Linked DNA regions of Rattus norvegicus. The protein of the gene in region 2 purifies or fractionates together with the protein of the main gene of each other region. This does not show direct contact. Links are inferred from orthologs where the notes say so. Each region holds a gene or a part of one and is shown on either strand. Other genes may lie near its edges.

Region 1 (4,189 bases), on a different chromosome or scaffold from region 2:
CTATGTTCTGCCAGAAATGACCATTTCAAGGTTACTCTGTCATCTGAGTTTGATGTGAATTGTGGTCTTTGTGGGTTTTGCTTTAAAAACACTGTACTTTGAGACTCTGAGGCATGAGCCGGAACTTGGTCATGCACTAATAAAGGGACTTATGTATTTTTTGTTTGGCTGGTTTTGGTTTTGGTTTTGAAGACAAGGCTTCTCTGTGTAGCTTTGGTTGCCTGAAACGTGACAAAGATCCACCTGCCGCTGTCTCCCAAGTGCTGGGAGTAAGGTGTACACCACCATGGCCCCACTGCCTCACATACTTCTAATTGGCTTAACTGGAGTCGTCGTGTAAATCTTTCTTCAGTGGGAATTTTAGCAGCAGGAGTGGCTGCAAGAGGGTTTCCACCACCTTTCCCAGGTGATAAAAACAACCTGAAGAATGGCGGTTGACGAGAGTTGAGCCTTCGCAGATCCTAAAAGCCAGGCCTAGGTTGGTGCACACCTTGAATCAGAGCACTCCAGAAGCAGAGGCAGGCAGACCTCTGTGATCCAAAGCCAGCCTAGTCTACATAATGAGTTCTAAGCCAGTTGGGGCTACACAGTGAGAACCCGTCTCAGAACCACAACCAGAAGCAGAGTGTGGTGGCGCATACCTTTAATCTCGCCACTGGGGAGGCACGGGCATGGGGTAGGCCAGGCTGAGACCAGAGCTAATTTCAGAACAGCCAAGGTTCCACAAGGAAATCCTGCCTCAAAAAACCAAACCAAAAACAAAACAAAACGAAAAATAACAACAAAAAAGGTTAAGGTCCTAATACATTTTAAGCTTAAAGAAACCCAAGATGTAATGTCTGGAGAGACCGCTCAGTGGTTAAGAGAACAGTCTGTTTTTCTCAAAGATCAGGGTTCAGTTCCCAGCACCCACATAACAGATTACAACTGTCTGTAATTCCAGTTCCAAGGAATCTGACACCTCACAGCAATGCACATAAAATAAAGTTAAAATATTAAAAAAAAAAATCTCTGAATTCAAGGCCAACCATTTTGTACCAAGCAGCCATTTTGTAAGATACAGAGGTTACAGTAAAGAGATTTCTGTCCCTACTCAGATAGTGCACATTTGGGAAAAAAAGAGACAAATGGAGGCAGGGACAAGGTGATTTTTTGAAAGCTCCGAGTTTAATACAATAGGACTCCAGACTGCTCGCTCACTGTTCCTTGCCTGTCATGCAGTAACTGGCCTGTGTCCACTACAAGAGCTTGTACAGGCCTCGCCCAGCCCCTCATGACGTCACTGTCCCGCGCCAGCCAATCAGCCTCGCCTGGCTCCGGCTGAGCGACTGTTCCTTGAGGAGGGTCTGTGGCTTGTGTTGTGACCCTGCTGAGCCACCATACCTCCCCGCCTCCGCGCCCAACGTCCGCGTAGCCGTTCTGCGCCGCCGCCATGGCCGACGTGGAGGACGGCGAGGAACCCTGCGTCCTTTCCTCGCATTCTGGGAGCGCAGGCTCCAAGTCGGGAGGCGACAAGATGTTCTCCCTCAAGAAGTGGAACGCGGTAGCCATGTGGAGCTGGGACGTTGAGTGCGATACCTGCGCCATCTGCAGGGTCCAGGTGATGGGTAAGCGATGCACGCGAAGTCGGGACCGCTGGGCGGGCCTGGCCGGCGAATGCTGGACCGGGCCTCCAGACACCGGATAGTTCCTGCAGGAAGTGGGCGTGACCGGGTTCCGGGAGAGGAACCTCGGGGTTTTCCTGGGCAGCCTAGCGGCCAGCAAATCCCACAGCGGATCCCTCTCGTGGATCTGAGGGTTGGGATGTTTAATGTTTTTGAGATGCTCTCACGTTCCTCAGGCTGGATTAGAGCTTGCCTATTTATCCGAGGTTGACTTTGAACCCTTGAGGCTCCTGCCTGCACCTCCCAAATTCTGGAAATTGCGAGCCTACGCCACTATCTGGATTCTGTCATAACCGAAATGATGCTCAGTCTGTTTGCTTCCGGATGCATTCGGTGGTGCTACTTGGCTGGCTTTTAAATTTTATTTTGACAAGACGGATCAGAACTTTCCTGTGTTGAAGCGAGGGCCAAGGTTTGCTTGATTCAGAAACTTCATCTTGCACCCTTCCCATCCTAAGACACCATTTCGTAGAGAAAACACTACCCTGCTATTTTGTGCCTTTTCGAAGAACTTCCTTTCATAGTCGTCTGTTTTAGTATTTTGAACGAAAATATCAGACCAAAATGAAACGTATCAAGACAATCTAGTTGAGTTTTGCACAGTTAAGAGCTCAGTCCACCTTGAAAAGAACCCTGTCTCTGTCTTTTTTTTCCAGACAGGGTTTATTTGTGTAGCCCTGGCTATTCTGGAACTCTGTAGACCAGGCTGGGATGCACCTGCCTTTGTCTCCTTAGTGCTGGGTTTAAAAGTGTGTGCCACCATTGCCAGACTCTTCCTCTTTTTTAGAAAGGGTCTATCTTGTGTAGCCAGGGTGTCTCCTGATGCGTCCTCCTCCCAAGTGCTACAATTTACAGAAATGAACCAGCAGGCCTAAGGCATGCTGGGGTTTGAGCTTCATCTCGGTACACTACCAACTGAGCTGCATAACCAGCCTGTCTTCCAGTGTGTTGGTTGTACCTGTAATAACAACACTCTGAAGACTGAAGCTGGAGGGACAGCAGTGCATTTGAGGTCAGGCTCGAACAAAACCAAAGCCAGGGAGGGACTGGAGAGATGTTTCCACAGTTAGGAGCACCACAACCACAGTTTGATGTTCCACACCCACCTGGCAGCTCATCACCCTCTAACTCCTGTTCCAATAACTCCAGCACCCCGTTATGACCCTTGAGGGCATTAGGCACATTTGGTATGCAAACACAGATGCAGGTAGCATAAACGTAATTTTAGATTACTGTGAGAATGCTTTACAAGGTGATGGGGGTGTTGATTGAAATAGATTTCTGTAGTTTGCAAATGTGCAATCAAGAGATTCTGAAGTCTTTGTACTCGCTTTTCAGGAAGTTTTCAACACGGTTCCAAACTTTACTTGTTTACTGTGTAAACACTAGTTTCTAAATATCCGATTTGACTAAAACACTAAAATACAGCTGTTCCACCCTTCTCCCTTGCTTAGGAACTGGGCCATAATTTCCATTTCAGAGTTGAGTGTGGTGACTCATGTCTGAAATACCGGCAAATACCGGCACTCAGGAGGCTGAGGCAGGGGCATTACTTTTGTTCTTTTTCAACACAAGCTTTGCTTAGAAATTTTATTCCTACCAGGTGTAATGGTATCTTTCATCTCAGCACTCAGGCAAAGATAAGCAGATCTCTGTGTTAGAGGCCAGCCTGGTCGACACAGCTGAGGCTAAGTAGGGGGACCCTATCTTACAAACAAATAAATAATGAATAAACCTTAAATATCTTTAATTTAAAAAGAGAGACTTTTTTAAAAAAAGAAGAAGAAGAAGAAAGATTTATTATCTATAAGTACACAGTAGCTGTCTTCAGACACACCAAAAGAGCGCATCAGATCCCATTACAGATGGTTGTGAGCCACCATGTGGTTGCTGAGAATTGAACTCCGGACCTCTGGAAGAACAGTCAGTGCTCTTGATCATTGAGCTATCTCTCCAGCCCAAGAGAGACTTTCTTTTAGCTCTTTCTTAGTTTAGGATGAATCTTTCCAAAGGGAAGTTTTAGTATATGTGCTGCCGAAGCGAGCACCCAAAGGGAAGTTTTAAAAGGATTTTTTTCCTTGGAAGGGCTATTTTTTCCACAAATCTAAATAGTAAGAGATGTAGATCCTAAAGTAACCAATGAAATGTTACAGCACAGACAGGTGCTTAACGTAGGCCCAAGTTTGGGTTATAGATAACTCCTGGTCATGTTCGTGGGCTGTGAGAGCTTAGTGCCACTCAGTGGTCAGGTGACCACAGGGAATTAAATTAAGACTTGGTAGTCCTGATCCCTGGCATTGTTTGAAAGGTTATTGTTGTATGCTGTAGAAATACTGTCTCAGATTAGGAACATCATTCACAGAACTATTTCTTTGATCAAAGTGTGGCAAATCTCTAACTTGAGACAGAGGCAAGAGCATCTCAGCATGTTAATTCAAGAGCAGCCTTGTCTGTAGAAAATCCAGGCCAGGCAAGATAAAACAAAAGGGGGAAAAAGACTTAAAAAGAGACTTAGAAACATTTTA
Region 2 (3,500 bases):
GATTGTGGGGTGCACAGTCCCCTTAGTGAAGGCAGCAAGGTGGAGGGTCCAAATGTCTTGGCTTCTCAGGCTGGCTCTCCTGTTCCCCTGCTTGTCCAGGAATCCCTTCTCCAGCCCCACTGAGATCCCCCCAGGGCCTTCCATCCTGACGCCTGCCACCGACCGACCAACTGCTTCTCACATCCTCCCTGGTGAAGAATTGTCACCTTGCTTCATATCTGCGCCCTTGTGGTTGGCTGGGGAGGGGGGCGGTGGGGGCGGGGGTAAGGTTAACCTCATTGTTGTCTTATATGGTCATTTAAATCTCCAAGGGCTTCCTCCAAGGGCCAAAAATAATCCAGAGACACAGCAGCTGTGTCCAGCACACAGAGAGGACCCGGCCATCTGCTTTGGTTCAGAGCCCTGTGTCTGTCTGTCACTTAGACTCTTTCTCCCGGCTTGCCCTCCATCCTCCTCACCGGCTCCAGCATGACCCGCTTCTCCTATGCAGAGTACTTTGCTCTGTTTCACTCTGGCTCTGCACCTTCCAGGTCCTCCTCTCCTCCCGAGAGCCCACCGGCCCGAGCACCCCTGGGCCTGTTCCAAGGGGTCATGCAGAAGTATAGCAGCAACCTGTTCAAGACCTCCCAGATGGCGTAAGTGACTCCCCACCTGGCCCCAAGACCACCCAGCTCACACCTCCAGCTGAGGCCGCAGGGGGGGGGTTAGCTTTGCAGCCCTAGATCCCCTTCCTGCTGCGTCTAGATTCTAGTGCTCCTACTGAGCTAGGCGTGGGGGCTGCAGCCTGATGCCCACTAGGAGTGGCATTCAGGCTGTGCTTGGGACTGACCTCAGATGTTTTCAGAGGTTGGGACCCTGCTGCTGGAGGAGTTCCATGGGACTCTGAATCTGGGGTTCCAGCAAGAGGGAGAGGTTCAAAGGACTGGTGTGTGTGTGTGTGTGTGTGTGTGTGTGTGTGTGTGTGTGTGTGTGTAGTTGACTTTCACTCCCATTCATCCTCCTTGTGTCTCCCCATACCACCTCCAGGGGTTCATCTGTGCACATCTAAGTCTCCACCCAGGACCCTTCATTTAAGGGCCAGGTGCCAAAGCCCAGAACTAATCGATTAACCGGGGCCAAGGGAGAGGGTTCTGCCTCGGGTATGGTGCCGATGGGATATTTGTGCCTCCCTCCTTGCTCTGGCTCAGAGTGGCCTTAAAAGCACTTAAAAGGGAAAAAGGGGGCCCTTTGCTGGTACCCCATTTCTGTGTGGCAGAGAGGAGGATACAGTTCTCATTCTCAGCCTCTCCAAGCCCTATGGGCACCACATTGTCCTTGGGACTTTGGGGTTGACAAAAAAAGAAAGTTCCAGTTCTAATCTGGGTACAACTGCCTATCCCTGCATGTCTGTCACAGGACACCCCACTCCCCCGCTCCTCCCCCACCGCCAGTCTCCCTTTTCTGCAAGGCAGGGTTGGGGAAGACAAAGCTGTCTCCCAAGGCCCTGTGCACCTTGCTTCTAGTCTTTGGTGGTTTAACATGCCTAGCAGCCTCTCCCTCTTTGAGGTGGGGACTTTGTCTCAGCTCCTGGGGAGGCTCTTAGTGTGTATGAGACACTGAGAGTCCCAGGATGTGTGAACCCCAGCTGGGGAGACCCATCTGGCTGGTGGGCCTGGACATCAAGTATTACATCGTGGGAACCTCTCCTCACCGAGGCCACAGGACCAGCCAGCCCATTCCCCTCCACTTCAGCCGTGGCCACATACCCCATGGGACCCTCCCTGAGACTGATGGAGGTTGGTCCTGTTGCTCCTGAGTGAATCTCAAGCGGGTGGCTATGATGGTGTTGATGGGCCTTCAGGATCTAGCTGGTCAGTCGCTTGTCCTTGTTGGGTCTCTGGCTTCACCCGTAGCTGCTATTAATAACCCAGAGGCTGAGAGGCAGGAGGAAGTGTTGCATGCTAGAGGAAGCAGCTGAGAGGGTTTGGGGGCTGGTCCTAGAGGTCCCCCTAAACCCATCCTAGCTCCTGATCCTAAGATCCTAGATAGTCATGGTCCCTACTGACTCGGTAGCAGGTGACAAAGGGAAAGAGGTCTCGGAGAACAGACAGACAAGGAAATAAATGGATAAGTGAGAAAAAATTGTCTTCAGTAAGCCAAACAAAGATGACCCCCACTGTGGCCTTGAAATCTTTTGACATTTAGAAGTTTTAAACTGTGAAGGATTCTAATTTATTAATCCTTCAACTATTGTCATTTTGCAGCAGCTGGGAGTAGGAATAATGGATTCGATGGGGAGATGGGGTGGCAGGAAGGCTGGGGGAATAGGGAGGGAGGGAGGGACCTTGGCAGGTCCTTGCCTTCGGGAGCTCTTGCAATCATTCAGCTAGCTGTGCATGGTATGAATCAGAGGGCCATCTTTTGGGAAGATTCCTCTGTAGTTAGCCAGTGTTAGCACTCTGTGCCCGAGTCTTCCTGGCAGAAGCAGTTTTGGGTGTGACATTAGCTTCAGCTCCAGAAAGGCGTGGGGGCTGCCAGATTCTCACACTAATTCGCTTGCATCCAATGATCTGGAGTACAAGCATTAGGCCCAGAACAAGCTGAACACTCGAGGAGAGACCCCAGAGCAGACACTGGCTCCTGCCCTCCAGTAGGTCCTGTTTGCCCTCAGGACCCAGGCCACCTGTCCTTGCCTCTGCCTACAGCTGAGAACTGGCTGCCGCTTGCTCTCACAGGGCTATGGACCCCGTGCTGAAGGCCATCAAGGAAGGGGATGAAGAAGCCTTGAAGGCCATGATCCAGGATGGGAAGAATCTTGCAGAGCCCAACAAGGAGGGCTGGCTGCCGCTTCACGAGGCTGCCTACTATGGCAAGCTGGGCTGCCTGAAAGTCCTGCAACGAGGTGAGGGCCAGCAGGGCACAGGGCTCTCTCTTGGTGGGGAGGGCAGGCTATGTAATGGCCTCCACAGACACAGTTAAAGTCACTGTGTTGCGGCGAGTGTGGGTGGGGTGGAGTGAAGAGTTGGGGCTGGGGGTAGGGGTGGGGTGGGGTGGACAGCCCTCTCTCTGTTCCCGCTCCTGCCCCTTGCTGCTGTCTCTCCATGCCTGTCAGTCAGGAAAACCCAATTCCTAGAAAAGAACAAGGGAAGAGCTAAGTTCTGGGACAGCCACTGCCAGTTTGTCCCAGAATGTTCCAGGGGCTGATTTGGTGTGGAAAGGCTCAGGCACAACTGTGCCTGTGCGCTGCCAAGGCTGTTCCCACCAACTGTGGGACCCTGGGCGAGCTCTGCCTCGTTTCCCAAGTCCATCTCTCTATTAGGTCAGATTAGGATTCATAATACCACCAGGCAGGTCACTCCGGCCATCGAATGGCCCCAACTCCCACCAACCACACCAGAGAAAAAGTTCCATGAGATGTGACCATTCTAACAGTGACTAAGGGGGCAAAGGAAAAATAGACACTTGAGGGCTAGGAGCTCAACCTCAGAAGGCTTCCCAGAGGAAGTGGCATCTAGTTCCAT

The links. Proteins that work in one complex are often made in the same cells at the same time.
Region 1: the proteins of Asb2 (region 2) and Rnf7 purify together in Homo sapiens (affinity purification with western blotting; 3 studies listed by BioGRID and IntAct, with this or other methods). This does not show direct contact. The link is inferred for Rattus norvegicus from reciprocal best matches to the Homo sapiens genes ASB2 and RNF7.

What each region holds. Positions count from the first base shown.
Region 1 is NC_086026.1:105,924,606-105,928,794, reverse strand, and holds the start of Rnf7 (RING-box protein 2), read left to right. Parts: upstream 1-1,389; 5' UTR 1,390-1,432; coding exon 1,433-1,607; intron 1,608-4,189. UniProt on the Homo sapiens protein: Catalytic component of multiple cullin-5-RING E3 ubiquitin-protein ligase complexes (ECS complexes), which mediate the ubiquitination and subsequent proteasomal degradation of target proteins.
Region 2 is NC_086024.1:128,255,151-128,258,650, reverse strand, and holds part of Asb2 (ankyrin repeat and SOCS box protein 2), read left to right. Parts: intron 1-530; coding exon 531-635; intron 636-1,026; exon of another isoform or gene 1,027-1,775; intron 1,776-2,714; coding exon 2,715-2,881; intron 2,882-3,500. UniProt on the Homo sapiens protein: Substrate-recognition component of a SCF-like ECS (Elongin-Cullin-SOCS-box protein) E3 ubiquitin-protein ligase complex which mediates the ubiquitination and subsequent proteasomal degradation of target proteins.